4 linked regions of the Arabidopsis thaliana genome follow. The protein of the gene in region 4 interacts with the protein of the main gene of each other region in a pairwise test. Each region holds a gene or a part of one and is shown on either strand. Other genes may lie near its edges.

Region 1 (7,010 bases), on a different chromosome or scaffold from region 4:
TTTCGCTTTAAGGATTATCGTTGAAAATAAAGTGTCAATCGAGACCAAAAGTAAAGGCACTTTTGATACAATCGTTGACGAGAGAAAATGAGTGACTTTTTACCAGTTTCAAAATGTTAACTTGTGGAAGTGACTAATTCAAATTTTAGTAACTATTCATTTACTGATTTAAAATCTACAACTTATTTTGATGGAAATATTAAATATACCTTCGGTCAAAATATTCGAAAGTGTAGCCGTTGTAAAGGATTTTCGTAAAATCTCGGTTTAGATATTAATAGTGCAATTGGATGAGGGGTTGGGTTAAAACGGTTTCAGATGTTGGTTAATTACATGATCTTGGGTACATGTATATTTGGTATTGAACCATATAACTGGGTTCATGTCTATTGCAAACTCGGCCCAACGTAATATGAAAAAAAAAGATACATCAAAAACAATGGAGATACCATTAATGGAGATGCCATTATTAACAAGCAAACAAATTTCATACAACTGTGATCGACATGTGTGAATAAAATGAGCGTCTTAATTAAACCAATTAAAAAAAAATCTATTTCGCTAGATTTTCTAGATCTTTTTTAAAAAATCCATCTTATATTTAAAGTGAAATTTCTTTACAAATGGATTTTTTTTTTTTTTTTTTTTTTTTTTTTTTTTTGTGAACTATGGAAAAGAAAATCTACATTTTAACAAATATTTACAGTTTTAATAAATATGGTTAGCTACTATATCAGCATCTTTGACGTTCATGATTTGATATTCGAATACTATAGCATGCATAAAATTCAGCAACGATACTTGTATACACGTTCTTTTTCTTTTTCCTGTCTAGAAATTGTATACACGTTAGGTCAGTGAGTTTACACTGAGAAGTCAACTCTCCGATCTCCTTTTACATAATAAATCAAGATATGTATAAGTTTCAAGTCATCCATTCGAGTTTATGAAACTTTCTGACTAATTTTGTCATTTTAAATTATGAGTCGTAGATGGTTTCATAAGATTTATGGGTATATAACTGCAATGTTGATTCTATTTCACACAGTTTGTAATTAGTGTACAAAATATTTTATATGCTTTTCTATTATTCTATATAATGCAACCCTCCGGCAAATTCTCTAAAACCGAATGCTCACGAAGGTTACATTGCATATATTAACTTCTTCCTAATGGGAGATTATGTTGAGAATCGAGGCTCGTGTTCTTATCAACCTTCGAAACAACCCTTCTAGATTTCTCTCGAACCCACCAATGCACATCTCAACCTCTTCAAGCTCATTTTGAAGATCATCATGAGATAAAAAATCTCCGAAAATCGCGGAATCTAATGTCTCCAACACGTTCTTGGCTGGCGCATGGTTATCCTTCTTCATCTTTAGTACCGACGCCAACTTGCTCTTTATGTTACTTTTTCGTCTGGACAATAATTCCAAGAACGACTTCAATACGACGACACTTACCGATACCACTCGTCTCACCCTATCTATAACCGCCACAAGTTGTTCATCTTCATGATCATTATCACATGAACGAGTCCCTCCATCGACTTTCTTCAAGGATCCTAGAAGCTTCTTGGCTTCTTTTCTCATGTTCTTCCTAAATCCGACATAGTCGGAGACAGCGACATCGATTTTATCTCCTCCTCCTCCACCAGATACTTTCTTTCTTCTAACATATGACTGAACGCCACGAACATGCTCGTGAGTCTCCACCATTAGATCCCTTGAGACGCTGCAGATATCCATCAGCCTCAACGAACCATCAAGCATTTCCTCCATGAATTCCGACCCACCAGAGGACATAACCCGTTGCTTTGAACCCATTTTCAGAAACTCCTCCAGAAAAATGTAGAGCTCCTCCAAACCAGCCAAGCCCATCAAGATCGACTCGGATGAACCCGTCGTGGTGTTAATTGTTTTAATCTTATTAAGAGATTCTTCGAGCCCACTTGTGCTTGGTTGTGATCTAGAAGGTAAACTTATAGATCTTAACTGTTTCTTAATGATCATATTCGCCATCTTTTGTGTTTTGATATAAGGTGTTTTAAGGGTTTTTGTGTTCTTTCTTCTTTGATCGATCTGTTTTATTCAACTTGCCCTACACATGCCTATATATATAGCAATGGTTTTTGAAACGTCATCAACCAACAAAACCTCAGCAATAATTGATGTTTTAAATTTCATTGGTCCGATTATTACTGACAAATCTGTGGCTCTCTGACCTGTCAGATTATTATATTGGTCAAATTGAGAAAGCTTGATGAGTCATAGTCTCTGTTGCCTACAGATTCGCCACATTATCAATTGACCTTTCGCGTTCTTGAAGTCGTTTTGGTAGGTTATGAGATCCGGATCTTTCTCCGACCATATTAGGTAGTTTGCTACTTACGGTTCCTCAGGAATAAAAAGATATATTCCATATAACAAAAACTACATCATTGCCTTCTGCATAACGTCTCGCACTATGACATGTGCAAGAGGGGCACTGATTTTGATTAGATTTGCTTGTCAGTTGTCACTGGTGGTTTGATTTGATAATCGTGGAGTAGACTTTTAACAATTTTACATATTCTGATTGGTCAAATGACATTTCCATTTAATTACCAATCATTAACGCTAATATTTGTAATACTTCGTTTTTCTTATGGCATATAAACTAAATTTGGGCATATTCTGTTTTATTCAGACTCAACGTTTTGCAAATTTATTGAATGTGCTATTTTCTTGTCTCCTTTTTTCACTGTTGCGATAATGCAGTGTAATTAACAAAAAATGTTTTTGGGGTTTTGTTTTTTCATTTACATTTTGTATATTTTCGACATAAGTGAAATATATTTAAATAATTTAAAAAATAGGATTAAAAATTATTTTTTTATGCAAATGGGATATGGATTATATAAATTCGCTTTTCACATTTTCCCACTCAAGGTATAAGTTTACATAGTGTTTCAACATATCAATAGTAGAGAATATATTATTTCATTCGCGCATTTATTGTTGCAATTTGGAAAAAAGTTATCTTTTCAAATAACATAGATTAAGAAGTAACAATATCATAGTTAGTATATTCATTTCACAGCGACAAACCGAAGAAAAAATGTAACTAAGGAAAATGATTTGCATGTAACAAGAAAATAACTATCACTCGACTTTATCATCGTTCTCTTCATCACCGTCTGGTGGGGGGGACCTATTCAGATCAAATTTTCGCTTAGATCCAACTCCAATTACCTTGTCTTCCTCCTCGACTGGATCGGCATTTAAGTCAATCCTCGCCCTTCCGATACTTGAAACAAGCCCTTCACCATCGGAAGAAGCCGTAGCGAGTCCACCAGCGGAAGAAGCAGTAGGGACTTCACCAACGGAAATAGCAGTGGCTACTGCACCACCGGTTGAAGCAGTAGCAACTCCACCAAATCCTTCCTCAGCAGCATTGAATGTTGGCGGAGGAAGAAAACCTAGATACCCTCGATCCTTATGCTGCCTTAGATGTCCAAAAACAGCCTTCCAAGAAGCAAAGCCCTTCCCACAAACATTACACATAGGAGGGCCTTGCGGCAGATGTGTCAACTGAGTAGAACCTTTCTTACGGGGTTTCTTGACTACCTCTCCTTCAGTAGTGGTCACCCCAATAGGGGTACAACCAGATGCTTCGGCCAGCGCTTCCAATAATACACGGGGTTTCCCAACTTTTATGATTTCTGGAGTTCCACTAACGTCACCGGTACCACTAGCACTTTGTTCTGTATTCCCTGTGGCTTCCTTGGCGGCTGCCACGATCAACTTCGCCGCGGAAACGGCTTCGTTACGGATGCTTTCATCCACATTGAGACTCTCACTAAGTCTTAGTGCAGGAAGGCCAAGAACAATTTCACGTATGTCTCCTTCTTCATCGCTCCAAAGATAATCACTCTCGTCAAAATTCTCATTCTCTTCCTCAGCAATTTTAGACTTCTCGGGATTACTCATAATTTCTTCTTTGCAGAGATTTAGAATACCACGTCTTCAATTTCAATCGAAGTGGTCTTTATATAGTTTCTATGACCACACGGCGGTTTATGACCGTTATTTTTTTATGTGTGTCTAACGTGTTCGCTCAGATCTCTCTCGCGCCTTTTCTTTAAAAGGTTGCGTCCGTAGGATCCAATCAAAATCTCGTTTTGACGAAATTGCCCCTGCCAGAACTTACGCTTATAACTTGGTTTCTTCAGTTGGTATGAACCGGAAAATAACTAAACCGGTACACATGTGACCCATGGTCCGAATTCCCACCTCTTCTTATGAATATCATGATTTTTTTGGATTAAGAGTCTAGTTCTTTTGTTTTTCTTTCTGTAAGATTTTAATTGTAAATTTATAAATATGCTATATGTATTTTAAACTTTCATTTGTTCATGTATTAAAGTCTGCCTTGTGTATATATCAATGCATTATTGTGTATATTTTTACAAATTAATCTCTACAAAATTATGTTTAATTAGTGTACAATATCTTATCCATGCGTCTATGATGTATCCCTCCGGCAGATTCTCTAAAGTCGAATGCCTTTGAAGGTTACATTACATGAATACTTTAAAACCTAATGAGATATTATGTTGAGAAGCGAGGCTCGTGTTCTTATCAACCTTCGAAATAGTCCTTCTAGTTTCTTCTCGAATCCATCAATGCTCATCTCAACTTCCTCAAGCTTCTTTTGTAGATCATTACGAGAACAGAATATCTCGAGATCCAAATTCTCCAACTCGTTCTTGGTCTCCTCAACATGGTGAACCTTCTTTTTCTTTAGTACCGAAGCCAGCTTGCTCTTAATGTTACTTTGTCGTCGTCCGGATAAGAATTCCAAAAACGACCTCAACACCGCGACGCTAACGGAAACTACTTGTCTCATGGCGTCTACAACCACCACAAGATGTTCTTCTTGCTCACCATTATTTACTGATGATGATGAACTTAAACCTCCATCAATGTTCTTCAAAGATCCAAGAAGCCTCTTAGCTTCTTTTCTCATGTTCTTTCTAAATCCGACATACCCCGCGACGGCGACATCGAGTTGGTCTTCTCCTCCGACTACTTTCTTTCTCCTGACACATGATTGAACACCACGAACATGCTCTTGAGTCTCCACCATGAGATCCCTCGAGACACTGCATATATCCATTAGCCTCAACGAACCGTCAAGCATCTCCTCCATAAACTCGGATCCATCAGATGATGACATAACCCGTTGCGTTGAGCCCATTTTCAGAAAATCTTCCGTACAATTGTAGAGCTCCTCCAAACCCTCCAAGCCCATCAAGACTGATTCGGACGAACCCGTCATGGTGTTAATCGTTTTGACCTTGTTAAGAGATTCCTCGATACCGGTCGTGCTTGGATGCGAGCTTGAAGGTAAGCTTATAGATCTTAGTTGATTCTTGACGAGCATATTCGACATTTTTTTTTATATAATATGCTTTTGTTTTGATTTTGTTCTAGAAATGTGTTTTGAGCTTTGTATTTTGCTTTCTTGATCGATCTGTTTTACTCAACTTGCCCTACACATGTATATATATAGCATAGGGTTTTGCGTATCAACCAACAAAACTTCAACAATAATTGATTTTTTAAATTTGATTGGTCCGATTATTACTGACAAATCTGACTCTCTTAGCTGTCGGGCTATTATATTGGTCAAATTATTTGGCCACAGAGATGAGCCTGATGAGTCATCGTTTGTGTTGCCTCCTGTTTTGCCACATTATCAATTGACCTTTCGAGTTTCTCAAATTTAAAATGATCGACGGTGTTAAAATGGTCTCGGTAGGTAACGAGATCCAGATCTTCCTCAACTGTATATTATATAGTCCCTTCTATTATCCAATCATCATTTTTAGGTTGCTTATAACGAAAATATTTTTTAAACTGCCGGCTACATGGTTTTTCTCACGTTCCAAATCTTATCAAAAAAAGAAAAATATTCCTTGTTATGACACGTATAAAGAAGTGCACGAGTTTTGAGATGATTTGCTTGCGAGATATCACTGACTTTGTGTATCTGATTGACAGATTCTCATTATCCTGGAATGGTTTATTTAACTTGTTTACTTATTATTAGCAATCATAAGAAGCTCGTAGAAACCAAACTAAATCCTTTAAATGAGTCCGACGGCTAACAGCTAATACCTGGAGGCTCCAATTCTTGACTGGAGTGGACACCAAAGGCCTCTGCCCGGCCAATCCTTACTCGACAGTTCCGTCCTTTCTTAGGTGGCATTTTCAACAGGCATGAATACAGCATCGATAGGATAACTTCTGTCTTCAAAGTTATTTGACATTCTCGTGGCAGGAACAGAACAACAGGAAAAGAAAGACCCGGGGCCGACCTACCCAGAAACGGAACCAAAAAATTGAACACAATACAGATTTCTTAAATTCTTTGAAAATTTATCAAATATATATTGGTAACTAAATCAATATTAATTCGATTTCTTGTTTTTTTTTTCCATTTACTGAAACCAAAATTGATTGAAGAAATTATAACAATTCATTTAAAACCAGATCATATGAATAACACTTTGCAACGTGTTGTGGGGCAAGTTAACACAGGGAGACAAATTAAATTTTACAACATATACAATTCTACCATATATATGCAGATATTGAACCTTTTTATATGCTAAATGATAGGGATACAAACCACAATAAAACTTGTGAATTTTTTTTTTCTTTTCAAAACATCTAATCTCTCAGGTATTTGTACTTAAATTTTTTATTAAAAAAAAAAAGTATTTGTACTTTCGTATTAGAAATCTTCGAAAAGATTTTAATTTGATAACTCATGAATGAAAAACCCTGATTTTAACAGAAACGAATTCGTCATAATTAAAAGATACTCTTTTGCGAGACGTAATGTTTAAATTTCCAATAATTGGTTACTACGAGACTAAAGTACTAATTTGTTACAATGCATTATAAAAAGGCTATGAATAGTTTCTAGATTCATATCAACAAAGTATCCATATAATTAGC
Region 2 (7,639 bases), on a different chromosome or scaffold from region 4:
AAGGTTTAAAGTTGTCTCAGTTAATGTTCATGTCTCAGCGTGAAACTATAAAGAACCATATATATATATATGTATACATTATTATACAACATTTAATTAGTACAAGACAAATCCTAGGCCTATTAACTAACGAAAAGAACCAAAGGTTTATCCTCGACTAGGCCTATTTAGATAGTTAGATGGGCAAAAGAGTAGTGCGCGTCATCGCTGGGGCTGAAGTAAGTTCATTTATATGATTTGGTTTCTAATTTCAACGATCTCTTTTGATCAGTGTTCCGTCTCGTTCCAGCTTCGTACTTGTAACATGTGTATTGATGCTCTTGCTAAATCAAGTTTGTTCTTTTGATAAGTTATTTTCTTTTTCTTGGTTTAGAGCTTGGAAAGAAATTTGAAACATCAGACATGGTTGCAGTATGTCACTTCAACTAACGTTCTTAGAGCTTGCCCTGTGACAAAGACATACCTTATATCTATAAGACAATAACGTATCTACGAGATATATATATATATATATATATATATATACGAGTGATGCCAAATTTAAAAGCCAGATCAATAAGTATCAACTAGAAAAACAAACAAAAAGACATGCATGTTCGAATAAATACATGGCTTGTTGATTGGTAGATGTTTGATCGATTTAAGAACTTGGTCCACAATATGTCTCTAAAGTGGTCCAATGATTTTAAATGTGAAGTGCGTAGATTCACTTCAGCGCACCCATTATATGAGTGAACAGAATGGATTCAACTTAGCCTCCTACACAAAACTTACACATATTTACTGTATGAATGTTAAGATTTTACTCTATAACTATAATTATCAACATTAGTTAACTATAATTTTACTCTATAACGATAATTATCAACATGGAAAAAGTATATTATCAAAGAATCTAAACTAACACTAACAATCATTCTCGGTCAACTTCTGCTAAAAATCTCCAACTAGCTGAGGAAAAACTTTTTGAGACTCACGTACTGTCTGAGTTTTGGAGTTCTTGGCAACCTCAAACGTACAGCTAGCTATTTGCCACACCAACCACCCAGAAACAATGAAAGAACCGAAGGTGCATGAAGGTCTCGTAAAGATGTTGATTTACGGGACAAGTTGAGAATATCTCTTTCGGCGTATGGTTACTGCCACTCTGCCAGTCTGCCAGCAGTTAATGTCCCTCTCCGATTCTCTGGCCAACGTTGAGTCGCCAGAGAGTGATTTTATTGAGAGTTCTGAATATTTAGAGAATAATACAACTAAATGTCGAATACGGCCCAATTTCAGTCATGTTTTATATTTAAAGCCCACTAACTTTTCCGCAAATTACTTGGACCTATTACTATTAGTACTACGAATGTTCCCAATATTTTGGCTCTATAGAAAATGGTGGAGTGATTTTGGTAATGCATCTTCTCAACATACTGAACGACACATTTGACAGCATCCGATCCTCAACGGAACCATCATCGATAATTCTCTGTCTTATTCCACGAGGCTTGATCTGTGCTACTGATGGAAGAGAATCCACATGGGTCAAGGGCGTCACAAGTAGCACTACGGTCCTTCTCATTGGCCACATTCGTACATTTTTCAAGGAAAAACTTCACATTCAAGCCAAATTCCGATCTCATTTTGGATAGAACCCTTGCATACCACGGTTCATGTTTTTGACATTCTACCTTCATATTCCCATTAACTAGTTGAATTCTTTTCATGCATTGTTATAATGAACTTATCTCGTATCTAATCAATCATATTCGGGTCTTTGGTTGCTTATGCTTTAACCGAATGTGTCTTATAATCATAGAGGTTTTTTCTGCCAATTAAAGTGGTAATTTCCGTGACCATAACAGATTTAATGATGAGGAGAACCCCACTCGACAACTTAATAAAGCTTTTCTTGTCCACAATCACAGAAATTATTTAATGAGGATGAGAAATAGAAAAACAGGGAGATTCTCGAGATTTTTTAAAGAGAGTGACTTTTGCGTCATTTGTGGGAGAAATAGTCACAATTTCTCATAATCCAGTATCTCTCTATCTCCTTTGCCTCACGTCCCACCACTCTTCTTGCTATTAAATCCCACCTGATCATATGATTCAATTTGTGACCAACATATATATGTTATTATTAGTATTCTGATTATTGTAAAAAAATGAATTATTAAAACTAAAATTACATTTTTGATTTCATTACATTAACAGTCTATATATTTATATAAATTTAAAACAACAATAGTTTTTCTATTTCTAATTAATTTAAGTATTAAGGTTTTAACACATATTAAGAACGAATAATTAAAATTTGATTATAAATATATCATTTTGTGATTAATAAATTTCTCTAACTCTAAACCAATAGTATTATTTTTTTTCGAGTTTACAGTTCATCTCATGATTAACTAAAGAATGCATAGAAAACTTGATATATTTATGAAACAATTTATTTTTTGTAAGACTTGAATTAATTAGAATCAAAGGGAAGTATTATAAAATAAAAAAAATTATAGTATAGTTTATAACAATTGTTAGGCAAGTCATCGATTCTTTATATAAGCTTCAGATTCGAATTATTAAAAAATAAAAATTAAATATTGAACAGTCTTAGAAAATATGGATTAAGTTTAAAAAGTAGTTTTTAAAATAAATTTGGTATCTAAAATTATTTTTATGTAAAAAAAACTTTCAAAATATATATATAACTATAGATCCGGATATTTTTTTTTATAAAAACAATTATAATATATGATCCAAAATTTGGTGTGGACAGATCCTGACTCTCACGACATCCGAATTTTCAGAACAAGGTAAAAATGATCTTGGATAGAAGCTTGAATCACGGCAAACAGTTTTATCCCTCACACACAAACAAAAATATTTAATTGTTAAAGCACATATTTTCACACATATTATAATACAATTAGGTCAAGAATTTAATTTTTCTATTTGGAACTAGATCAATATATAAACAGAAGAAGAAAAATGTTACGTGCCTGTCGCCAACAAGTCTGTACATTCTAAAGATGAGATCTTCTTCTTGTTCGGTCATATTGATAAACTCCCATTTCATACTACTCACTTCTGCATTTTAGTTAGTATATAAATTCAAAATATCAGTGAAAACGTACATCACAAAACAATTTAATGTTACAGGTCAAATGAATGAGCGTAGACCAAAAGGAAGAACAATTAGATTTCCAACTAAATCAAAGACAAACCTTGAGAGCTATGAGTGAACTTGGGTTGTTTATGACAGTGAAGGCGGCGAAGACGGTTTGTGTTATCCATTAGTATGTATTGGAAACAGCGAAACAGTATGAACACAAATATTATTGAGAGAAACAAAAAAAATTGGAGTTTGGAGAATGCAAGCGAAGAAAGAGATGTGAGGTTTACAAAACTATGTAGAGACACAAAGAGAGGTCCCCAACTCTCCTACTTGGCCACATAACCTTTAACTTACAAAATATAGGTACACCATAACTTACTGAATAAATTAAATGCTAAAACTAATTTTCAGAAGCAAAGCAGATCACAAATACAAACATTTTAAATTATGGATATCATTCCACTTTGTAATAATAATACATGCATATGATATATGTTGTATTTATAAACGATATATTATTATGTATTCAAAATGAGGAATTTATTATAAAATATTATTTTTTTGTTTGCAATTTGTATGTAGTTATTTTTTCTTATCTTGCAACTTTTATCTTTTTAATAACTTTGATGGAACAAAGTGGATACATAAATTTTAACATAAACTAGGAAACTATATAGTATATCCGGCTCTTTTGTAGAAGATATGAATCATAAAATACATTCTGATCCGGCAAACTAAAAAAAGGAACGAATTATAGATACCAAACAAAAAAGCCTAGTTGTTGACATACACAACAAAATATGTGACATACAGAAGGAAAGGACGAATAATTGTTTTGGAATTTGCATGCATTTGAATTCGAGTACTCATAATCTTCTAAGCGAAAACTTGCGAAAACTTTATCACCTATAAAACATTGAAAATATTGAAACCAAATGGGTGGTCTAATAGTTTTGAAAACTAATGTGTGGGTCAAAGTCACTAGTTTAATACTTGAGAGGAATAATTTATGCTCTAAATAATCAACCACAAAATTTTCGATCTTTCACTCACTCACAGAAAGGAAAACAATTCATTGCTAAAGCGTCATGACTCACGTTGCTTGAATCCTTAAATTTTTTTTGTTGTTGTATGGAAACATCCAAAATCTAACATGGTTTATGAATTAAGTCGCAACTGATTCATTTTATTATGTTTTCAGTACTATAACGTGTTACATTTAAGTGAAGGACATCACATATATAAGTATACACAACAAGTTATCTAATCCAACTAGTCCAAGAAGTTTTTATTTAATCAACAAAAGAAGCAAGGCTTAACATCGAGTTCCTCGACTAAGTCTGTATATCCGCTCAAATCGGAAGTAGACACAATCACACAATGGTTTTTTTAGTCTACAAAAAATCTAACAATTTTGATTTTGGCAAAAAAAATTGTAAAATAAAATTCATCTATATTGGAGTGTATTCTAACAATTTTATCATAGCAAATAGTTTTATGGTTTTAAAACACTAAATAACAGAAGAGTTTTCGTATTTAAATTAGTAAGTTGACCACCACTTAAAACCCAATCTAAATATAAGCCTGAAAGAAAAGAAAAAAAAAAGAAGAAAAAACCCCTAGATTGTTGAAAGTTGAAACCAAGATTTGTCGACAATTATTTAATGTGGTACGATGATTATAAATGTCATGTACGAACGACTTGACTAGGTATTAAACCACACCCAATGAACGGTACATGATTCATGTGTTAACCTCCCCCACTGGCAAACTTACATATGATTCATGTTAACATCCCCCACTGACAAACTTACATATGATTCATGTTACTTTTTTTTTACGCCCTCGATTTGATTTCTCAAACCTAACAATAAGAACCATTTGTATCCACACATATGACCTAATTTGTATTTATTACCTACCTATAAAAAAGTACTTATCAAAAGTTAAAATTAACATTAATGTATCAAGCATACTATATTTGAATTTACATATGTATATAATATAACTTTGCACTGTGGTTCTACTTTTAAGTTTTAACTATATTTGACATTAGATAAGGATCTATGATACATATTAAATTATAATATTAGAAATACAGGAATCTTTTTTATCAAATTCATTATTTATCTATATATATATAGAAGTATTGTAAAATTATTTGAAGTTATACAGTACTGATTCTGCTTAGTCTGTCAGAGTTACAATAAATCCCATAGTTAACCATGTAGACCCACTTCATAAGGGAAGTAAATAGTAAAGGCATGCATATGTTAAAATTCAAATAAAATATCTTCTTTTTTTGTCAAAGAAAGTTCAAATAAAATTTCTTCTAGAACAATTCTCAGGAATCTGATCTGTATTCTTAAACTATTCTAATAGAATATACCGTCGCATCTGATTTTTTATAGAATGTGCCGAGTCATTTTTATTTTATTTTTTAACACAAATGAGCAGAGTCTCATGTGTGACTCTTCTCTTCATATTTACTCTTTTTAACAATTGTTCAGTCAATTTCTTATTGTTCTACACTAAAAACTATCATTAACATGACAAACCAAAAAGAATCCATCATTATCAAGATATATAGGTTTTGATATCTTCTTTTGTTAAGTACCTTAGTTGGTCTTCTTCCCCAATCTAGTTTCTGGTTATTGTTTGTTTTTTTTTGTATACTTTTTATGTTCAAGTTATATAAGAAAACCCTTTCACAAAAAAAAAAAGTATATTCAGGGAACCAGAAATGTTTATCAGTTAATTTTTTTGTAAAACAATGACATGTTTTATCCTTACTTAAAAGAAAGTAATATTAAACAAAATATAGTGGTTTCGTTCGTCAAGCATAACAAATGAAACGACATGATCGTGTGACCCAATAAGCCCAGCAGCCGGATTTGACTTATCTCCTTCTTCTTCCTTTTCGGTCAAATGTTTGACTTTCTGCTAAAAATAACAAAAATGAATTTTAAAATTGAGAAAAAAGAGTTTCACCTTCACCAATCACCATTTCTCTCTACTCGCCAAGAAGTTTCCTTTCCTTTGATTGCACAACTAATCTCAAACTAAAAGATCTTCTCTTTAGGCATACCCAGATCTTTCTCTCTCTAAAGTCTCCACCTTTCACGGTTTTTTGCTTCTCACCTGAATCCAATCAATCTCGCCGGAGTGAATTCACCTTCCTCCGGTTGACTCGTCGGACTTAGTCCGACCTTTCAATTCGTAGATTCTGTTTACAATTCACTGATCGTTTGATTAGAAATGGGTTACTTGTTCTTCTAAGTCTCTCTTTAGCTGAAAGTTTGTTGCTTTACGACTCTTCGATTTACCCTTACTTGTTCAAGTTCTTCATCAAATTCGTAGTTATGGCGATAAGAATCACTTTCACTTACTCCACCCATGTTGCTCGGAATCTCGTCGGGACCCGTGTTGGTCCCGGTGGTTACTGCTTTGAATCCTTGGTTCGTCCTAGATTCTTCTCCCACAAGCGTGATTTCGATAGATCTCCTCGGAATCGACCTGCATCGATGTATGGTAGCATCGCGAGGGAGCTCATCGGAGAAGGAAGTCAAAGCCCGCTTGTGATGGGTTTGATCTCGATATTGAAGTCAACGACGGGTCATGAGTCGTCAACGATGAATGTTCTGGGGGTTTCATCTTTCAAGGCTTCTTCTATTATTCCGTTTCTTCAAGGGTCGAAATGGATTAAGAATCCACCGGTGATTGATGACGTGGATAAAGGAGGAACAGTTTGTGATGATGATGATGATAAGGAATCGAGGAATGGAGGAAGTGGATGGGTTAATAAGCTTTTGAGTGTTTGTTCTGAGGATGCTAAGGCTGCTTTCACGGCGGTTACTGTTTCTATCCTTTTTAGATCAGCTCTTGCGGAGCCAAAGTCGATTCCTTCAACGTCTATGTACCCTACCTTGGACAAGGGTGATCGCGTTATGGCGGAGAAGGTATGAATTCTGAGTCTGTTCATGTATAATTGTAATCATAAAACATAGCTGATGATGGATGGTGACTTTTTCTACACGGTTCTGGAATTAGTTCTTGCATGTTTTAGGATGGAGATAGTTGTATGATACTCTTATGTGATTGAATGTGAAGGTTTTTCTATAGGTGATTGCTAGACTTCACCTTGAGCTTTGTTTAGTTGCTTGATGTAGGTTTGTGAATGAGGCTGTTTTAGTCTCTTTATGACTAAACTGACCGTTTGTGTGCCTTGGTGTTGGTCAGGTCTCATACTTTTTCAGGAAGCCAGAGGTTTCAGATATAGTAATCTTCAAGGCTCCTCCAATTTTGCTGGTAAGTCACAGTTCATTGTTCTTGTTATTCAGATGTATCAACTTTTGTAAACTAAAGAATTTGATGATATTCTCCCTTTGAATTGCAGGAATATCCGGAATATGGCTACAGTTCCAATGATGTATTCATAAAAAGGATAGTGGCAAGTGAAGGTGACTGGGTTGAAGTAAGCCCTTATATCCAATCCACTTGTTGATTGATCCTTTTCACCCATTGAAGTCTTTT
Region 3 (8,005 bases), on a different chromosome or scaffold from region 4:
TTCTTGTAGAACTTCCTCCTTTAATCTAACCTCTCTTTTCTTTAAATCTGATCTCTTTTGTTTTTAAGGTAAGTAAAATTTTTAACATAATATAATTAAACTTTTACGTATCATCCATCATTTTTGCAAATTAATTACCAACTCATGGTCGTTTACTTACTACTTTTTCGTTACTTATGTATAAAACCTTTTATACCGCTTAATAAATAAGTTTCCCCATTGTAATAACAATGTAGGTTTTTTTTTTTAATAATATTGTTGCCAATAAATTTTAGACTGAAATTTGAAATATATAGCCCAAATCAAAATTCACATTGAAGTTTATTTTTGGATTTTTTGTTTTGATTATTTCTTGATAGTTACATAAACCGGTTTTCAAACCCGAACATGTTCAAATAAAATTGAGAGAAGTTTCCGACATTTTTAGTCTTATCCTCAAGGAGTGACACGGTGAAGCTAGATGTCCCAACAAGGAGTCAACAAAAACACTTACCTTAAACACGGCAAATCAGATTTTTTATATCCTTACAAATGCATTATGTTAAATTTATACTTAAATTCGAATAATGAGAAATCTGAATTTCATACTTACACTTCATGTTTTGTGCATAATCATGCATATGCTCTAACTCTGTTATTGTACCGTAATATCTTGACTATGTGAAATTCATGTGTGCACCTACGTGAATTTGTTTTATGCAAGTTTGTGGAGAAATCGGCTTTTTCGTAGCTAAAGACTATAATATTGTGCTAAAACATACCTTATGTAGTCAAAAACTATAATTTAACATGAAATACATGTATGAAATTCAAAATTCTCATTACAGAGCTATGTTGTAACATAATGCAATGCGATATGATATGAAAAACATTTGGGATTTGTTCTTCTTATTTTTCTAATTATTATTTTGGTTTGCTTTCTATAGTTGTTGTAGTATAGTAGTTTTCTCATTTTCATCCAAAAGGATAATCATGTCATATGCATTGTACAGAAAAGCAAAAATACCTTGCTAAATATATACATATGCAACCATACCTTAACACAAAATATATTTTCAACCAAACCTTTGATTATTAATTACTTTTATAAATTACAAAAAACCTTGGATTATTAGAAATACTTTACCAAATCCATGGTGAACTTTAACATTCTTAAGAAACAAACGACCCACGTATATTTATGTATTATACATGCCTAATCAAGGCAATCCTCCCATGAGAGTAGTGGATGACAATTTCGTATATTCAACATCCCTCAGCGAGTCTTGTCCTTGCAGGCTCTTACATTGGAAATAAGCAACGGTGTAAGTCACAAGCTGAAACATCCTCACCACAAAGACCGAACTCATAAGGACCAAACCGGTGGTTAAGGTAACCGAGAATGAACTACTCCAATCGACCAGCCGCAAGATTTGAACTAATCCAAATGACAATAACCCAAAGAAAAGATTCAAGAGGAATAGTTTTGGCTTCATCCCTTTAACAATCTTTGCAGCTTTCCCCAAAGCTTGGATCCCATAAGTATCCTCGAGTATCGATATGACCATAGATAAGTTCCAAACGATAGCTAAGTAAGACTCAAAGACTGCAAATACAATGAATAAAGCGCGAGATTTGGCTGCCAAGGAATCGAGTTTTGTAGAGAAGAAAACGATAGAAAATAGGACTATAAAGAATAGGAACCAATAGCCAAGACTGAAGAGAACAATATAGAAATTGGTCACAAGAGGTCCCTTCCAATATTTAAGCGTCAGAATCGGAAAATCTTTGATCTCGAAGCTATCATCTTTATGAGTAAGAGCCGATGCATGAACCATGACAAGAGTGGATAAAAGGTTGATGATGGAGGAGACGGCGATGAAGATGTATAAAGAATTGACAAACTGGCGAAAATCTACAAAGACTCTCATAAGATGGGCAGCAAATTCCGGGGTGTTTGGATCTGTCATAGGTAACAAACTTGATTCAAGGATCAAGTTTGTTATCTCGGGTTTGATGGCAATGGCGTTGAACAAGTAAACTAAACAATTGAGTAAGAGAGGGAATACCAAGACTGAGAACATCAACTTTTTGTTCTTGAGGAGAGTTTGCGGGATTCATTTAGAATACCCGCAACCTCCATTATAACATTCAAGAACGAAAACCGATCCATGGCTTTCAAAAAGAAAATGAAAAAAAAAGCTCTTGGCTATTGCTTTTTGGTAATGGTAGTGAGGGTTTATATGATCAAACGCCCATCTGCTTAGTGCTTATATATTACCATAAGATCGACCCGCTACTTCTCTATGGAGGAAAGAGTCCTTGGCTTGTATTGTACCTCTTCGTAGCTTCAGTTTTGGAGATTCTTATCATCCATTAGACTGAGTCCACGTCTACATAACCACACAATATTACCTATTCAATCAAAAATCAAACGAAAGAAACCAAGACTTAGACAAATTCAAGAACAAGAAACCGAAGTATAACACATCGATGAAAAGTCTAAACAATTACTTCCTGACAGCGACACAAATAGAGATGTTAAAGAGAGAAAACAAGAGCTCGGTAACATGTTCAACAATTCGTGTTGAATCGGTCAAGAAACTCTGTAGCACCGTGTTAAAACTGAAAACGACTACATATCTATCTATTTATATATTTTTCGAGAGCTTAAGGGTTCTAATCATTCTATAAACCAATAATGAAGCAATTAGTCTCCTCCAACGAACTAGTCATCAAGAACGAGTTAGAAACTATAACTATGTTGAATGAGCTTAAAACATTATTAAATGATTATAACTTCTAATCCAAATATGATTGAAACAAAACAAAAACAAGAAACATAGCACTTACAAATCTAGCAAACTACTTCTTCTATGACCAAAACATCTCCATAATTCTCCTTCTTGTGGATCTTCCTCCCACAATCTAACCCTAGCTCTGCAAATAGGACACGTCGAGGCTTTGAGCAACCAAGTGTCCACACACTTTCGATGAAACACGTGTCCACAACCAGGAAGATTCCGACACCATTGTCCTTGTCTGAATCCATCAAAACAAACCACACAATCGCTCTCGTACCGTGTGTATGTGCTAGGTTCGGAGAATTTGAATTGAGGAAGCTTTTTCACGAATCTTGAAGATAACCCATCTGAGGATTCTTGTCGGCGATTACGACGACGACGTCGGTGGTGACGATGGAGAGAAGAGAGGAGGAGAGGGAGGATAAGAACAGAGGCGATACCGATAAGAACGAGGAAGAGAAAGAAGATTGAAAACATGATTACACCAACGAGGAATAGAGAGAGAATCCTTGTTTTCGGTTTTGGCGGTGGATGAGACGGCGTAGTAGACGGTGGTTCGCCGGAGATTCGGTAATTATTGGTCGGAGGCATCGGAAAGAAAAAAAAAAAAAAGAATTCTCCTCTTTTTTTGGTTGTTTCGTATTCTGGCTTATCTTTTTTTTGTGCTAATAATTACCAGAATCTAATGTGAAAGCTAAAGAAGGTAAGATTTGATGTTTTGAGCGAACTGAAATGCTAAATCAAAGACATTTCCAAAGTAGAAAATGACGCAATCAAAAATATTTGTCAGAGCAAAATTTAAGAAAGAAAAATAGATTTCATTTAGTGACAGTAACGTTTGGTTAAAAATGGTCATGTGATGAGATACTTTTTATTTTACTTTTTGGGCTTTGGATCATGTGATAAAAGATTTTAATTTTTATATATATATATAAATTTTTTTGGCTCCATGTCTACAAGAAATATAAATAATAAGAAATATCTTCTCATCCAATAATTTTAAACATTATCTTGAAGGATAAGCAAATATCATCATCCCACTGTTTTTAAGACCATAGTATGGAAAAAGATGGAATATTCGAACTTATAATTTAGTTTTAAAAGTAATATTCGTACTTGGAGGCCTATGGAATCGCTACTAATTCTAAATACTCGTTCTGAACATAGCTTGTCGTTTGATTCGGACGTTTTGAAATTTTGTACATTCTTTTGGTTTGCTCTCTTTTTTTCTTAACAATATACGTTTTGTAAATTTAAACTTGGACGATGATATAACAACACAAATGACATATGCTTAAAAGTTAAAATCTCATTTTTTATATTTTGAATCTTTGATTGATGAATTATAGCGACAAGCCGACAAAGGCAACTTCCTCGGTAAGGGCAATCGTTATCTTAAGTTTAATTTGATCAAATCTCTTTCTCAGCGATAGAAAGTTTAATTGGTATATAGAGATTTGGGCCTTTACATAAAATGATATTTGAAGGCCCACTAAGCCCAATTATTTTCCAGAATGTTGAATTCATAAACGCAGATTTACTTGACATGATAACAAAGAGAAATTTGTCTTGATTCAAAAAAATAAAATAAAGAAGAGACATTTGTCTTTCTCTTGTAAAAGAGGTCAATAAAGCAAATTTGTTTTTCATACTTCATCATTTGACTAATTTTATTGGTGTTATGTAACAAACCGAATATTGGAGATATCTTAGGGAGCAAGTACGTGAAGTCCGAAGAATATTCTAGATTTCACTATTACCTTTTGTTCAAGTTATTTTTTTATATGTTTAGAAAAGTTGAAGAACAATCTGACTCGGATACCATGATAGATTTGGGCTTTTAATATGAGATTTCAACTAAAAATCAATTGGTAATAGGTGGAGTGACCCTAACACTTTATATACTATTTGATAATTTTTAATTTTTAATGTGGGACTTTCTTCATTAACACATTTTGTTTTAGTAGATGGTCCTAACGTTAGAACCTAACACTCATCAGAAGGTTTAAAAGACGGTTATACTTTTCCCGATGGTTTTGGATTTGGGTAAGGTTGAGAATTTTCTCAAGGTAGGATTCGAAGTGATGTTGAGAATACCCTCCTTAGTTTCTTCGAAATTTCCTTCGCAGCTTTGTGAAAATAATATCCACAAAGAAAAAAAAAATGAACTTTAAATTTCAAACCCTCGTGGAATTTTCCTTCACACATCATCATATATTCATATTCATTCAATTCACCAAGAAAATTTAGGTGGAGTAAGGAATAACAAATTGTCCTGTATGAAATCAATACAATAAGTAATGGAAGACTTGACGTAGACCAAAGACTTTTCCTTTTACTTACAGTCTTTGAGTCCAATTATATATAAATACTCGCTTCCCTTTGCTTCGTTATTTCACAAACAAGTTAAAGAAAATGATAAAAATGGCAGTAAAATTTGTGGTAGTGATGATAGTGTTTGCACAAATCTTAGCTCCAATCGCTGAAGCTGCTCAAGGAAAAGCTGTCTATTACGACCCTCCCTACACTAGTACGTCTATATAATTATACATATGTTTGTTTCATATATATAAATATATATATTATAAAAATAAGATATGATCAGTTATAAATTAATGATGTGATTTAGGGTCTGCGTGTTACGGAACACAACGTGAGACGCTGGTAGTCGGAGTCAAGAACAATTTGTGGCAAAATGGTCGAGCTTGTGGTCGGAGGTACAGGGTTCGATGCATTGGTGCTACATACAACTTTGACAGAGCATGCACCGGGCGTACCGTAGACGTGAAGGTAGTTGATTTCTGCCGGGAGCCTTGCAACGGTGACCTTAATCTCTCTCGTGACGCTTTTCGGGTTATCGCTAATACTGATGCCGGTAACATTCGTGTCGTATACACACCGTAAGTTTCATTCTTTCATCTTTTCATCGTATCCAAAGTTTAATATTGTCTTGATTTTTTCAAAAATAAATTCGCCATTTAATATTGTCTAGATAAATTTGACAATTCTTTTCTTCTGCAGGATATGAAGTTGATCCTTGATATACACTATAAGCAAAAAAAACGAGAGATGATTTCGTGGTACTATATATTCCAATAAATCGAATGGAACTAATATATATTGGGCAAAATATTCGTTAGATCCGCTTCGATTCGGTATTTGATTTGATTTGATTCGAAAAATCCGAATATCCGTAAGATTTTAGAGCAAAGCAAATAGAAAAATATAGTATTCGTAAAAACCGAATCAAATAACAAATATTGTTTTTAAAAAAATCGAATACCCACTTCGATCCGTATCTTTTTATATATATTAGAAAATATAGTTATATCTATATATAGATATCATAAATAGTTTGTGTATTGTTGTCATTTTATGTTTTTATGTTAAGATGTTTGTTTGATCATTTTTTTTTCATGTTATGTTTTGATCAATGGCATAAAAAACTATCGGGTTTTAGTTTTTGGAATTAGTTTGATAACAGTTTGTTGACTGGTGATACCAACAACGGTTATGTTTGGTATTTAAAACTTATTTTGAAAGCATGTTAAAAAAAAAACTTTGAATATCTGATATGGTTATCCGCAAATATCACAAAAAATTCCGAATATTCGAAATTTCGGATATCCGGAAATTTTTGAAGCAAAGCAAATCACAAAATCAAGTATTCGTTTAAAATGAATCGAATAACAAATATCACAATTTTTCCGGATATCCGCTTCGTGCCCATACCTAATATATATGTATGGATGATCCTTTGTGATGAGAACATTGTGTTTCAAATAAGAATTCCACTTTATCCTATATTAATTTACAATTTTCCGTATACTGTTAAGTATTAAGTATTAACCGACGGGTTTTACTAATTTAATGTCTCTTTGGTAGGGTTAAAACTTAGAACTGTTTAGAAACTTATAGAACAAAATAAACTATATTTTCCAAACACGAGTTAAGAATAGTTTGATAATAAAAAAAATATGTCCGATTAACATAGCTCTGTCTTTCAAGTTCAAAACCTAAAAAACGAAAACATATATGTATAGTATGTGAGTATGTCAAAACTCAAAACGGAGTGGGCAATTTCTGGTTTTTAGATTTTTTTTAGGAGTGTGTGAGTGGGCTTTCCCTTACCATCTCCTAAAATCGAGCTAACAAAATCTATTTCACTTTTCCAAATAACTATTTTCTAATAATGGTTTTTCAATGCGTGAGGTCGTGAGCCTATCAAAAGGTTATGTAGGTTGACCTAACTACATATCCTGGTTTTTCAATTATGATAGTTTATGTACCAAAGGAAATTAAAACACCAAATCATAAACCAAAAATTGATGAACAACAAAAATAAATGGAAAATGTGTATGTTATAGCCTTTTAGGTACATTGTTCTACTAAGCATATAATAAATAAAAAGTGCACGAAGACCATACATGCTTCGAGTTAAGACTTAAATCAGAGAAAGCCGTAGAACCTTCTTCCATGTTGGCTTTATGTTTCCCTCTCTCTCTCTCTCTCTCTCTCGTGTTTCTCCTTTGTCAACATAGAATGTTTGTTTACTGCCTAAAATTATGAAATGATAATAGTTCTGTCTAATGCCTCATCTTTTTATCTCGTACATTTAATTTGAAAACTGACTGTTTTGCTCGCACTAAAAACACATACTAAAATGTCAACTCTTAATAAAAGATATAGACCCAAAGACGTCAAATATAGGTGTGTCTACACTATAAAAAAGGTGATCATCAACCAAGTTTAGTTAATGTGACAGTCAACTACATGAGCCTAATGAGATATCCCATCTCACCGGATTAGACCGGATCGCAAATTTTCCTAAAAGACTAACTCATAACTATCATTCATTATGTCGTCCAAATCTTTAACGTTCTGTAGTCGCGTGGTTTAAAACTATCAACCATGATAAGGCAATAACATGCAAAAAATAATATCAATAAATCTATAGTCGATCTCGTTTAACCTTAACATAGTACGAATTCCAACTCATAACGAAGAATGGTGCGACTCTAGTTTTAACTATCCCCTCCCGAACAAATCCAAAGTCGAAGTTGCCTCAAAAGCTTCTCGGCCTATCATGATTTGGACACCTACTCTAACAAAAACAACACTCCATCCAAGAGAAAATAATTCCTGCCCAAACATACATATAAACAAATTCATCACTCATGCATGGCAACACTAATTAGTAATGTTGCAGTATTGGTTTCAAA
Region 4 (8,318 bases):
TGCATGAAATGGGATCGCCTTTCGAGCGGTGAAGGTGACATGCTTTTGGATGATCTTGCAAAGGCTTTTGATGCCACAAATGTTGTGGCGCACAAATCCTCGAAGGCGATTGATTTCACCTCTGTTCTTGATGGCTTGCCAAAACATGGTTTCCGGGTTAAGGATATTGTAGGAACTGAATCAGTGACTCAGCCTTCTGCAGCTAAGGTGATTGACACTCAGGTGCACAGTAGTAATCAAGTTTCTGAACTACGTATGGCCACAGCTTCATCTGATGATAACCTTCGGGAAATTGAAACCATAAGCCAAATTGACATGCTGATGTCTGAAGATGACAATAAGGTGGAACCTACTACAAATGTCCTCAAAGAAGAAGCATTTGCCCTAAGGAAATGCAGTGCCAGCCATGGCCAGGGGATTTTGGTGCAAAATCAGACGGCTACTCCCTTTACACTGACAAGATGTACAAAGTCAGAAGCAGCGTCGGATGTTAGCATGAATATTGAGTCGACTTCCGAAGGTGGATCAATGTCACCGTCAAAAAGCGATCATGGGATCCCACAAAGTCCTGTTGAAGTGAATAACATGGGAAATGCTGCTTTTGAAGAAGAAGCCTCAGTGGACGAAAACAGCAAAGAAAGAGCTACTACTGGTCATGCTAGTAATGATGAGATGCATATCACTGAGTCTGGACACCACGCATCCATTGATGATGAGAAGCATATCCCTGAGCCTGAACACCTCACATCCATTGCTGATGAGATGAAAATTGATTGTTCTTCGGAAGCAAATCACGACGAGTACATGGAGGTCACAATGGAAGACCAGATGCATGAAACAGGTGACAGTAAGATTATTCTTCCTAACTTATCCTCTGAGACTACCGATTTGCTAAGTGAATCAGGTAAATCTCTCAGTCCAGATGCGGTTGTGCAAGACCATGACGAAGCATCAAGACTAGAGTCCGATGAGACAAAGCTCGAGGAAGAGGCATCAGTTCCAAACCACAACACCTTTGAGATAACAATGGAAGACAATAAGGTCGAAGAGTTAACAATTGAAGACGAGAAGGTTGAAAAGACTGAAACCGAAGCTAGTCACCAAGCCCAAGTCCAATCCTCTGAAAATAACAATGACACAAAATCAGGTACGAGATCTAAGTTTCCTCATTTGCAAATCTAACCTAACACATAAGTTTGGAGTATAGATTTCAGTCTAATGTTATATCAATCCATAATGTAGGTAAGACGCAAGCTAAGAGGAGTAGAGTTCGTTTACCGCAACTAAGGCCTTTCAAGCCTTTTCTACTTCAATCAAGGTTCAAAAGGATCAGTAAAAAAAGAAAACATTGAAGAGCTTGATCATTCTTATAAGTACAAGTTTTGTCCATTAATTTATACCCACGCAAGTCTCGTGGTTTCATTTTTGAACCGATTATAAAATGGGGGAAAGAAAGAATCTAATTTATTCTCTAGAGTTGATTCTTTGTGTACTCGTGTTCAAGAAAAAGGCTTTTAGTTAAAATATTAAAAAGGAAAAAAAAAAGTTAAAAAGATTTAAGAGTGGAGGAGTCGGTAAATCTACCGCCGGCCGACAAAAGTCGGGGACAATGTCGCCGGAGGGCCTACATCTCCCTCCATAGCCATTGCTAAAGAAGAAAGACTGCTCTCTTTCCTTTTTCAAAACTACTTTATTTATAATCTAATTGAGAAGCATTATTCTTCACATTATTACTAATTACCTACTTGTGAGAAAAATTATTCTCTTATTACTAAAGATGCCTAACATTCAAATTATTTTCACTTTTAAATAAAAATAAATGATTTTTGTTACTGTTGGAAAATAATATAGTCTTACAATCAAAGTAACATTTTTTCTTGCAAAATATCAAAAGTGCTGAGAAACTTTTCCATAGCTTTTTTTTTTGGCAAAAATAATTGCTAGTATGTTTTCCTCTAGCTTTTTTTATATACTGACTTATGAGAATGAATGTATGGGTTGATTACTTTAAGTTAGTTTATTTGAGTGGAAGCTTCTTTGATATCTTAAGAATTCTTAAGGTATATAATATATGTTTACCTTTGGAGATTGCTAGTACTTAGCACGATGTGTAATCAACGTGAGAGTATTATGAAATCATCAAAGTAACATGGCCATGTGTTCATTATATGTTTTTCAATGCTAAAAGTTATCATCTTTGTACTTTCTAAATACTTTTGTAAATCAAGTTGGTAAAAGAAAAATCAGACCATTAAGGAACATACTAAACTATACATTAACTATTTAAGGGTCCATATACATTAACGATGTGTAATCAATTTGTTTTAGTTGGAGTTCGATATTTTTAATTGTTTTATGTATATCGTTTGCAACTCACTTATGGACTACCGAATTTAAATGACGGATCTAATACGGCGACGACGTTTTATCTCAAATCCACTTTGTTCTCAATAGGTGAATATCGTTTTGTTTTGCCTTTAACCTATCTAAAACCCCATTTATCTCACTTATAGAACTCAGTGCCATGCTAAGACAATTGCAATCGTCAATTGACAAAGTGGCATATACCACTCATGCAGAATTGTATGGCCAGTGAAAAAGGATTAGTTTGCAAATATCTCAGATCAAAAATACAAGATATGTTATTCTTATATACAAAGATAACACAAAACCTACACATGAGTTTAGCAACATGGGGAAATCTTTTAAACCAAAACAAATTAAAGTGCCATATATAAACATATATAAGAAAAACAAACATAGAAGAGATTAAATTAGTTGAGGAAGTGATTAGCAGAGAAAGAATCAAGAAAAGATGCCCACGTGTCGACATCTCCTACCACGGCTTCCATAACATCAACTTGTTCTTGTTGTGAGATCTCATCATTTCTTGCAAATCTCCCTCTTATTCTTGGCCTACTGTCCGCTAATGTCTTCCTGCATTCGTACTAATAGAAAGATAAAAGATTATTATTAAACCTGTCCCAAAGTATTGTGATAGTTTTTAGATCATTCACAAGTCAAAACTTGTCGGTCAAAAAATTATAACGCGAGCAGAAATATCTCATTGAGATACGGTTTGAATATGTTAGTACATGAATACTCCAATCCGATCTTTAATTAGCAATGAAATATATTTGTGGACCTTCTTGTAAGAAAAAACTAATGGAGAAAAAAACTTGTAGCAACCTTGGAGCTTGATGTGTCTATCTCAAAGGATTCCTTAGACCCAAATATGATGTGACAGAACATTAATTCTCGTTCACATACTCATATATATCAGATGAAATTCTATTTATGTTTGAAGATAAGATTGAAAAGAAAAATTCAATGTTACTTTTTAGTGATAAGAGTGATTGATATGATACATTGAGCCTGTTTTTTTTTTTTTTTTTGGTCAACGAACCATTTAGTTTTGTATTAAATGTGAAAAAAAAACAGTATTACTAAGAAAAGATATCTTATACATTTGATTTTAAGAAAATAGACATTTATATATGCTCTTGTGTATGAAATTATACAGAAATCATTATTAGTTGATTAATGAAGAAATTTATAGGAAATTGTATGCTTGATTAGAAAATGGTTGCATCAATATATGTGAAGGTGCATGTCACTGTTCCATACAACTACTGTACATGTCAAGTCCTCAAAAGTTTTCCATGCGACACATATATACACATGTTGAATATATAATATAGGTTAGGTGTACATGGACTCTATGTGATGAAGAACAATATGAATCAAATGATAAATTCTTATATGTTAAAATAAGATATAAGAATTTATGCTAACAAACAGTTTAGAACAAAGAAACAACTGTAAAACATTTATAAAATTACCTTAATCCTCTTGTTGAAATTCCTAAGGTTTCGTTTGCTACGATATTTCTCGATCTTTTCTTTCTTCTCCTCAGGACTATACTTGTAGGCTTTGCTCATTCCTTCTATTATTGCATTGCTCTCACTCCACACCGTACTGCTCTCTCTTCTGCTACTCCTCTACACACATACCAAAACAGTGTCGTCTTATGTTATGATAGAATTATTATTATTTTCAAATAAAACCCCAAATTTTAGTATGTTTAGATAATTTATTTGTGTTTTGGTGTTTTCATTTTACACTCTTGCAAAACCATAAAACAAACCAACAATATAATGTTTCGTTTTATAAAATGTGAAAAATTTCATACGTAAACGAAAACATAAAAGTTAACGTTTGAAATCTCGAAACTGCAAGTGTGTATATAATATTACTTACGGGTAGATCTCCGGCGCTAAGGGCCCGTCTCACTGGCCCATCATCATCGTTAACGAAATCATGGGCCGCTGTGTAATTACCGGAAAAGCCATTATGGCTACTAACACTCCTCTGCATAACAAGACTCTCTCCGCCACTCCCCATAGAGCTTGGCGAGTCGCAGCTGCTGCTTCCACCACCACCGTTCATGCCGGAATCAAAGTAACCGAACCCTGAAACCGCCTCGGCCGCGTATAGAGAGTTTTGGCTCATCATAAGAAGCGCCAAAGGCGGAGGCGGGAACTGATGATGATGATGATCAAGCAGCTGAGGAGGAGCCACTATGTCGTCGGAGTATAGAAAACATGGACAGTTGTCGCCGGAGGTTATAGAAGTGCTGACGTGTCCACACATGGTGGGTTTTAGTTTATTGTGGTGTTTATGTGTCTTTGTGTGTTTGTTTATGTGTGTGTGTGTGAGTGAGTGAAACTCGAAGTGGTTTGGTTTCTATTTAACAGAGGAAGGACTGATGCTGACGTCATTAATCGTCATCTGAAGTCAACTGACTTAACCGTTGACTTCTTTTGACTGACTAGGAAAAAAGGAATCTTTAGGTATAAAAAGAGTTGCCTTTCGTTTTCAGGTCGCTTCTATCTCACTCTCACCCGTTATTCTTCAAACGACATATATTACACGAAATTGAATCCGACATGTATTATACGAAGGTGAATTTGGATAGTTGAACAAAAATGATAATTATTTTTTCATTTAGGTTTAAAAATGTTTTCATTAAAAATAGAACTACTACTAAAAACAAAAATTCAAATATACTTACTTATATATAGGTTACTGATTAATATGCTATCAATTATAAATACAGAGGAAGAAAGCTAGTGACAAATAATTACTAATTATAACCAAGTGTTGTTAATTCAATTAGTAAAAACCCTAGACGAAACTTAGAGATCGCCAGTTCGAATGACGTTTAGAACAAAAGTAATATTATATGCTGTAGTTTCGGGTACGGAGGGATTACGGGTTTCAGTCCAAAACCTCTTGGTATTCAAAAAAAAAAATACTAATTATATTGAATTTCAAAAAAATTGTTATTATATTGAATTTTATAATTAGTAAACTCTTTCTTTTTTTTCAATCTCTTTAACACATTTACGTTTCAAACTAAATGGCGTTATAACATTTTTTAATGTATTAAGAATTTCACAACGATAATTGTTGTAAAATGGAAGGCATAATCATTTCTTGAAACAGTAAATTTACTGATATTTTCGTAAGCAATTGTGTTTTAACTTCAAGTCCTTGACGAAAAAAAATATACAATTGTGTTTTAAAATAGTAGATAGATAACATCTCGTGCAACATTCATAAATCATAACAGCAAAAGAACAATGTAAAGAAAAATAAAATAAAATAAAGGACACGACTTAGCTTTTTAGCTCGAATTGTATAGGAGAGACAAAAAGATGGTTAAAAGCATTATTTCACGCAAACCCATGTGAGCAGCATACAAATCTACTTTTTTGCCTAATTAATCATTAACTTAATCAACAGTAATAATTAATTAAGCTCAGATACTTGATTGCTTTGGTTATGTTCACATTAAACGGGTGTTTAGTCCGGTCCGGATAATTAACCAGACAAGACACGATAGTACTGCTCTGTATATGAATTGTATATCTGTTCCAATCCATGATTAGTCAGGTTAATTAGCCAGAATTTTTTGTTTGGAATCAAATCGATTTAGGTAACATATCGAGAGAATATCTCAAACGAGTTATACATAGCTACCCCTACGGTAAAGTATATAAATATTGTTTTTTTTTATAGATATTTTGTTTACGATTAGTTACATTCCAAGAACGAAATTCGAATAGTAGGATCACTGCATATATACCAATATATTGTAGGAACACGTTGTAGTCAGTCACTAAATTGGCCTACTCATCATCATCATCATACATAATACATAATCACTCATTTAAGAACAAAACAACTTATAATTTCCTGTTTAAGCCTCACTCCATAATGAGGATACATAATATCAACCCAACTCGTGGTGTTTGTTTAGTAGAAAAATTAACCCACATATCACATTATTACTACTAGATGATATTGATTATATTTATCTAATTCAGTCCAATCCAAGTTTAAACTAAAATGATTATATATCTATATGTATCCAAAATATTTCATTTGGATGATGGTAACAAACCGAACCAAAAATGAAAAATCAAATTTGTTACATCTAAAACCTAAATTTGAACCAAAATTAACAAAAGTGCACTAACTTAGATAGTCTTCCTCCTGAAATGTGTATACAATCTTCCCTTGTATTAGGGGAAATGATTGTTCTTCTCCATTACATTCTATATATACAATATGGGTCCGTCGATAAATTTATTTGAAGAATTTTTTCTCGTCGATATCACTTCTCTAAGCCAAATATATAATTTTATTTTATTTATGGGGTACGAAAGCATCTTTTTCACTTAAGAGGATCGGAATGTAGGTCCATTAGAATCAACGAAATAAAAATTAGTTATATTTTTTTTCTTTGATTAACACAAACTTTCATTTTTTATGCGCCGGAAACTAGAGCATGTAAATTAGTCTCCTCTAAACAGGTCAATTAGTAGGAAGAGAGCTGTAAATCTCATTTTGAGAGAGTATTTTCAAACAACACTAAACCATCATCTATTGGGATTATCTATAGTTTTTTTTTATCGATTACTCTTCTTTTTATCGTCAACGTACAAACATTAATGTCGATTTGTGTTTGTTCCGTATCCACCACTCTTATTGTAATTTCTAAATATACTAGCTGTGTTTTGCAAACATTTTTTAGGGAACGTTGAAGACATTTCAAAACTTAAAACAAAGTTGCCCCACATAATGTAGAGACATAAATAATAATTCGCAATCGTTACGAGGACATAGGATCTCGATTCCAACAGTGGATAGATGTACTATGGGACTAATTAGAAAGACATTTTGTGTATCCTTAAGGGCAAAATAGCCACAAGTTGATGGGAAAGGTCATGCAAAAGCAAAATCTATAGATCAATCGATGGTAACGAAGACTTTTTCTATTTGGTGGTAAACTTTGTAGCATAATGTACCAAAAACAAAACGTTTCATGCTATGGTTGGTTCATAACTAGTTTCGAGTTTTAACGATCCAATAAGAATTGTTCTTTTTGTTTTTAATAAATAGTGTTTTTGTTTTTGCATTTCTTACCACCACTGGAGCAAATTATTGGTTTTATACTTTCGCAAGTCTCTCAGTAACCCACTTTGGTTATTTGCACACAACAATTATATACCTAGTTGTAGTTTCAAGAAGGTCAACGGTTCATGAAAACGATGATAGAATAGGGGAGATATATATTTTAGTATTTATTCCTATTACTAATGAAATTATATAAATAAATATAAGTAATACTATAAAATGAACTTAAAACTGAAATTAATATAATCGTGTGAAAACGTTACTACTACTACTACATTTGGTGAAAATATGAATTTGCATTTTGACTTTATAGCATGAATTCATACATAAACAACGTATAGTATGCATACAAAACTTTTTCATGGTATTATGCGAGATGTTTGATTTTACAATATATTAATGGCAATATGCAAATAATATAGTCCAAGCCTATAGAAAGCAATGATAATAGCATAAATGTAGGCAATGAGTACACAAAGAGTTTATGATCAAAAGAAATGAAATGTGTAGGGTTACTTGTTCTTGGTTGAAAGAAAAGTATGTTCCATACAAATCAAAGAAAGACGGTGTGATTTAGATGTTTTTAAGTGATCCCATCATTTTGTTTTATTGTTTTCTCTATTCTTTTTAAATTGTTAATTAGGACTCGTGCATGTGTTTCTATGCGTTTGTCCAATCTTCTGGACAAGAGAAAAAGGTCAACAAGCACAATAGTTTCTCCACCATTTTCACATATTCTCCATTCACGTAAATTAAACTTTCAAACTTTGGATACTTCGTCTGTTTTTGGCCTTGGAATTCATATTCGTTACAAAAAAAAACCCATCAGATTA

Evidence for each region.
Region 1: the proteins of AT5G59990 (region 4) and DAZ3 interact in a two-hybrid assay, tested with the Arabidopsis thaliana proteins (one large-scale study listed by BioGRID).
Region 2: the proteins of AT5G59990 (region 4) and TCL1 interact in a two-hybrid assay, tested with the Arabidopsis thaliana proteins (one large-scale study listed by BioGRID).
Region 3: the proteins of AT5G59990 (region 4) and AT2G18670 interact in a two-hybrid assay, tested with the Arabidopsis thaliana proteins (one large-scale study listed by BioGRID).

The regions. Positions count from the first base shown.
Region 1 is NC_003075.7:16,920,312-16,927,321, reverse strand, and holds DAZ3 (zinc finger (C2H2 type) family protein), read right to left. Parts: upstream 4,004-7,010; 5' UTR 3,972-4,003; coding exon 3,144-3,971; 3' UTR 2,988-3,143; downstream 1-2,987. Other genes in the region: AT4G35710 (DUF241 domain protein, putative (DUF241)), read right to left, coding at 1,170-2,021; AT4G35690 (hypothetical protein (DUF241)), read right to left, coding at 4,582-5,436.
Region 2 is NC_003071.7:12,966,776-12,974,414, forward strand, and holds TCL1 (Homeodomain-like superfamily protein), read right to left. Parts: upstream 3,466-7,639; 5' UTR 3,286-3,465; coding exon 3,216-3,285; intron 3,079-3,215; coding exon 2,991-3,078; intron 2,085-2,990; coding exon 1,988-2,084; 3' UTR 1,790-1,987; downstream 1-1,789. Other genes in the region: AT2G30430 (uncharacterized protein), read left to right, coding at 1,401-1,637; TPP (thylakoid processing peptide), read left to right, coding at 6,469-7,065, 7,346-7,414, 7,503-7,580. UniProt on the Arabidopsis thaliana protein: MYB-type transcription factor involved in trichome cell specification. Acts as a negative regulator of trichome patterning and formation by direct binding to the cis-acting regulatory elements of GL1, thus suppressing the expression of GL1.
Region 3 is NC_003071.7:8,088,838-8,096,842, reverse strand, and holds AT2G18670 (RING/U-box superfamily protein), read right to left. Parts: upstream 3,624-8,005; 5' UTR 3,375-3,623; coding exon 2,833-3,374; intron 2,395-2,832; coding exon 2,391-2,394; 3' UTR 2,064-2,390; downstream 1-2,063. Other genes in the region: AT2G18685 (uncharacterized protein), read left to right, coding at 1,816-2,019; AT2G18680 (uncharacterized protein), read right to left, coding at 1,200-2,063; PNP-A (plant natriuretic peptide A), read left to right, coding at 5,199-5,313, 5,413-5,683, 5,805-5,811.
Region 4 is NC_003076.8:24,148,432-24,156,749, forward strand, and holds AT5G59990 (CCT motif family protein), read right to left. Parts: upstream 4,771-8,318; 5' UTR 4,654-4,770; coding exon 4,261-4,653; intron 4,002-4,260; coding exon 3,843-4,001; coding exon of another isoform or gene 3,831-3,842; exon of another isoform or gene 3,420-3,830; intron 2,949-3,419; coding exon 2,775-2,948; 3' UTR 2,503-2,774; downstream 1-2,502. Other genes in the region: GAF1 (Polymerase/histidinol phosphatase-like protein), read left to right, coding at 1-1,147, 1,243-1,352.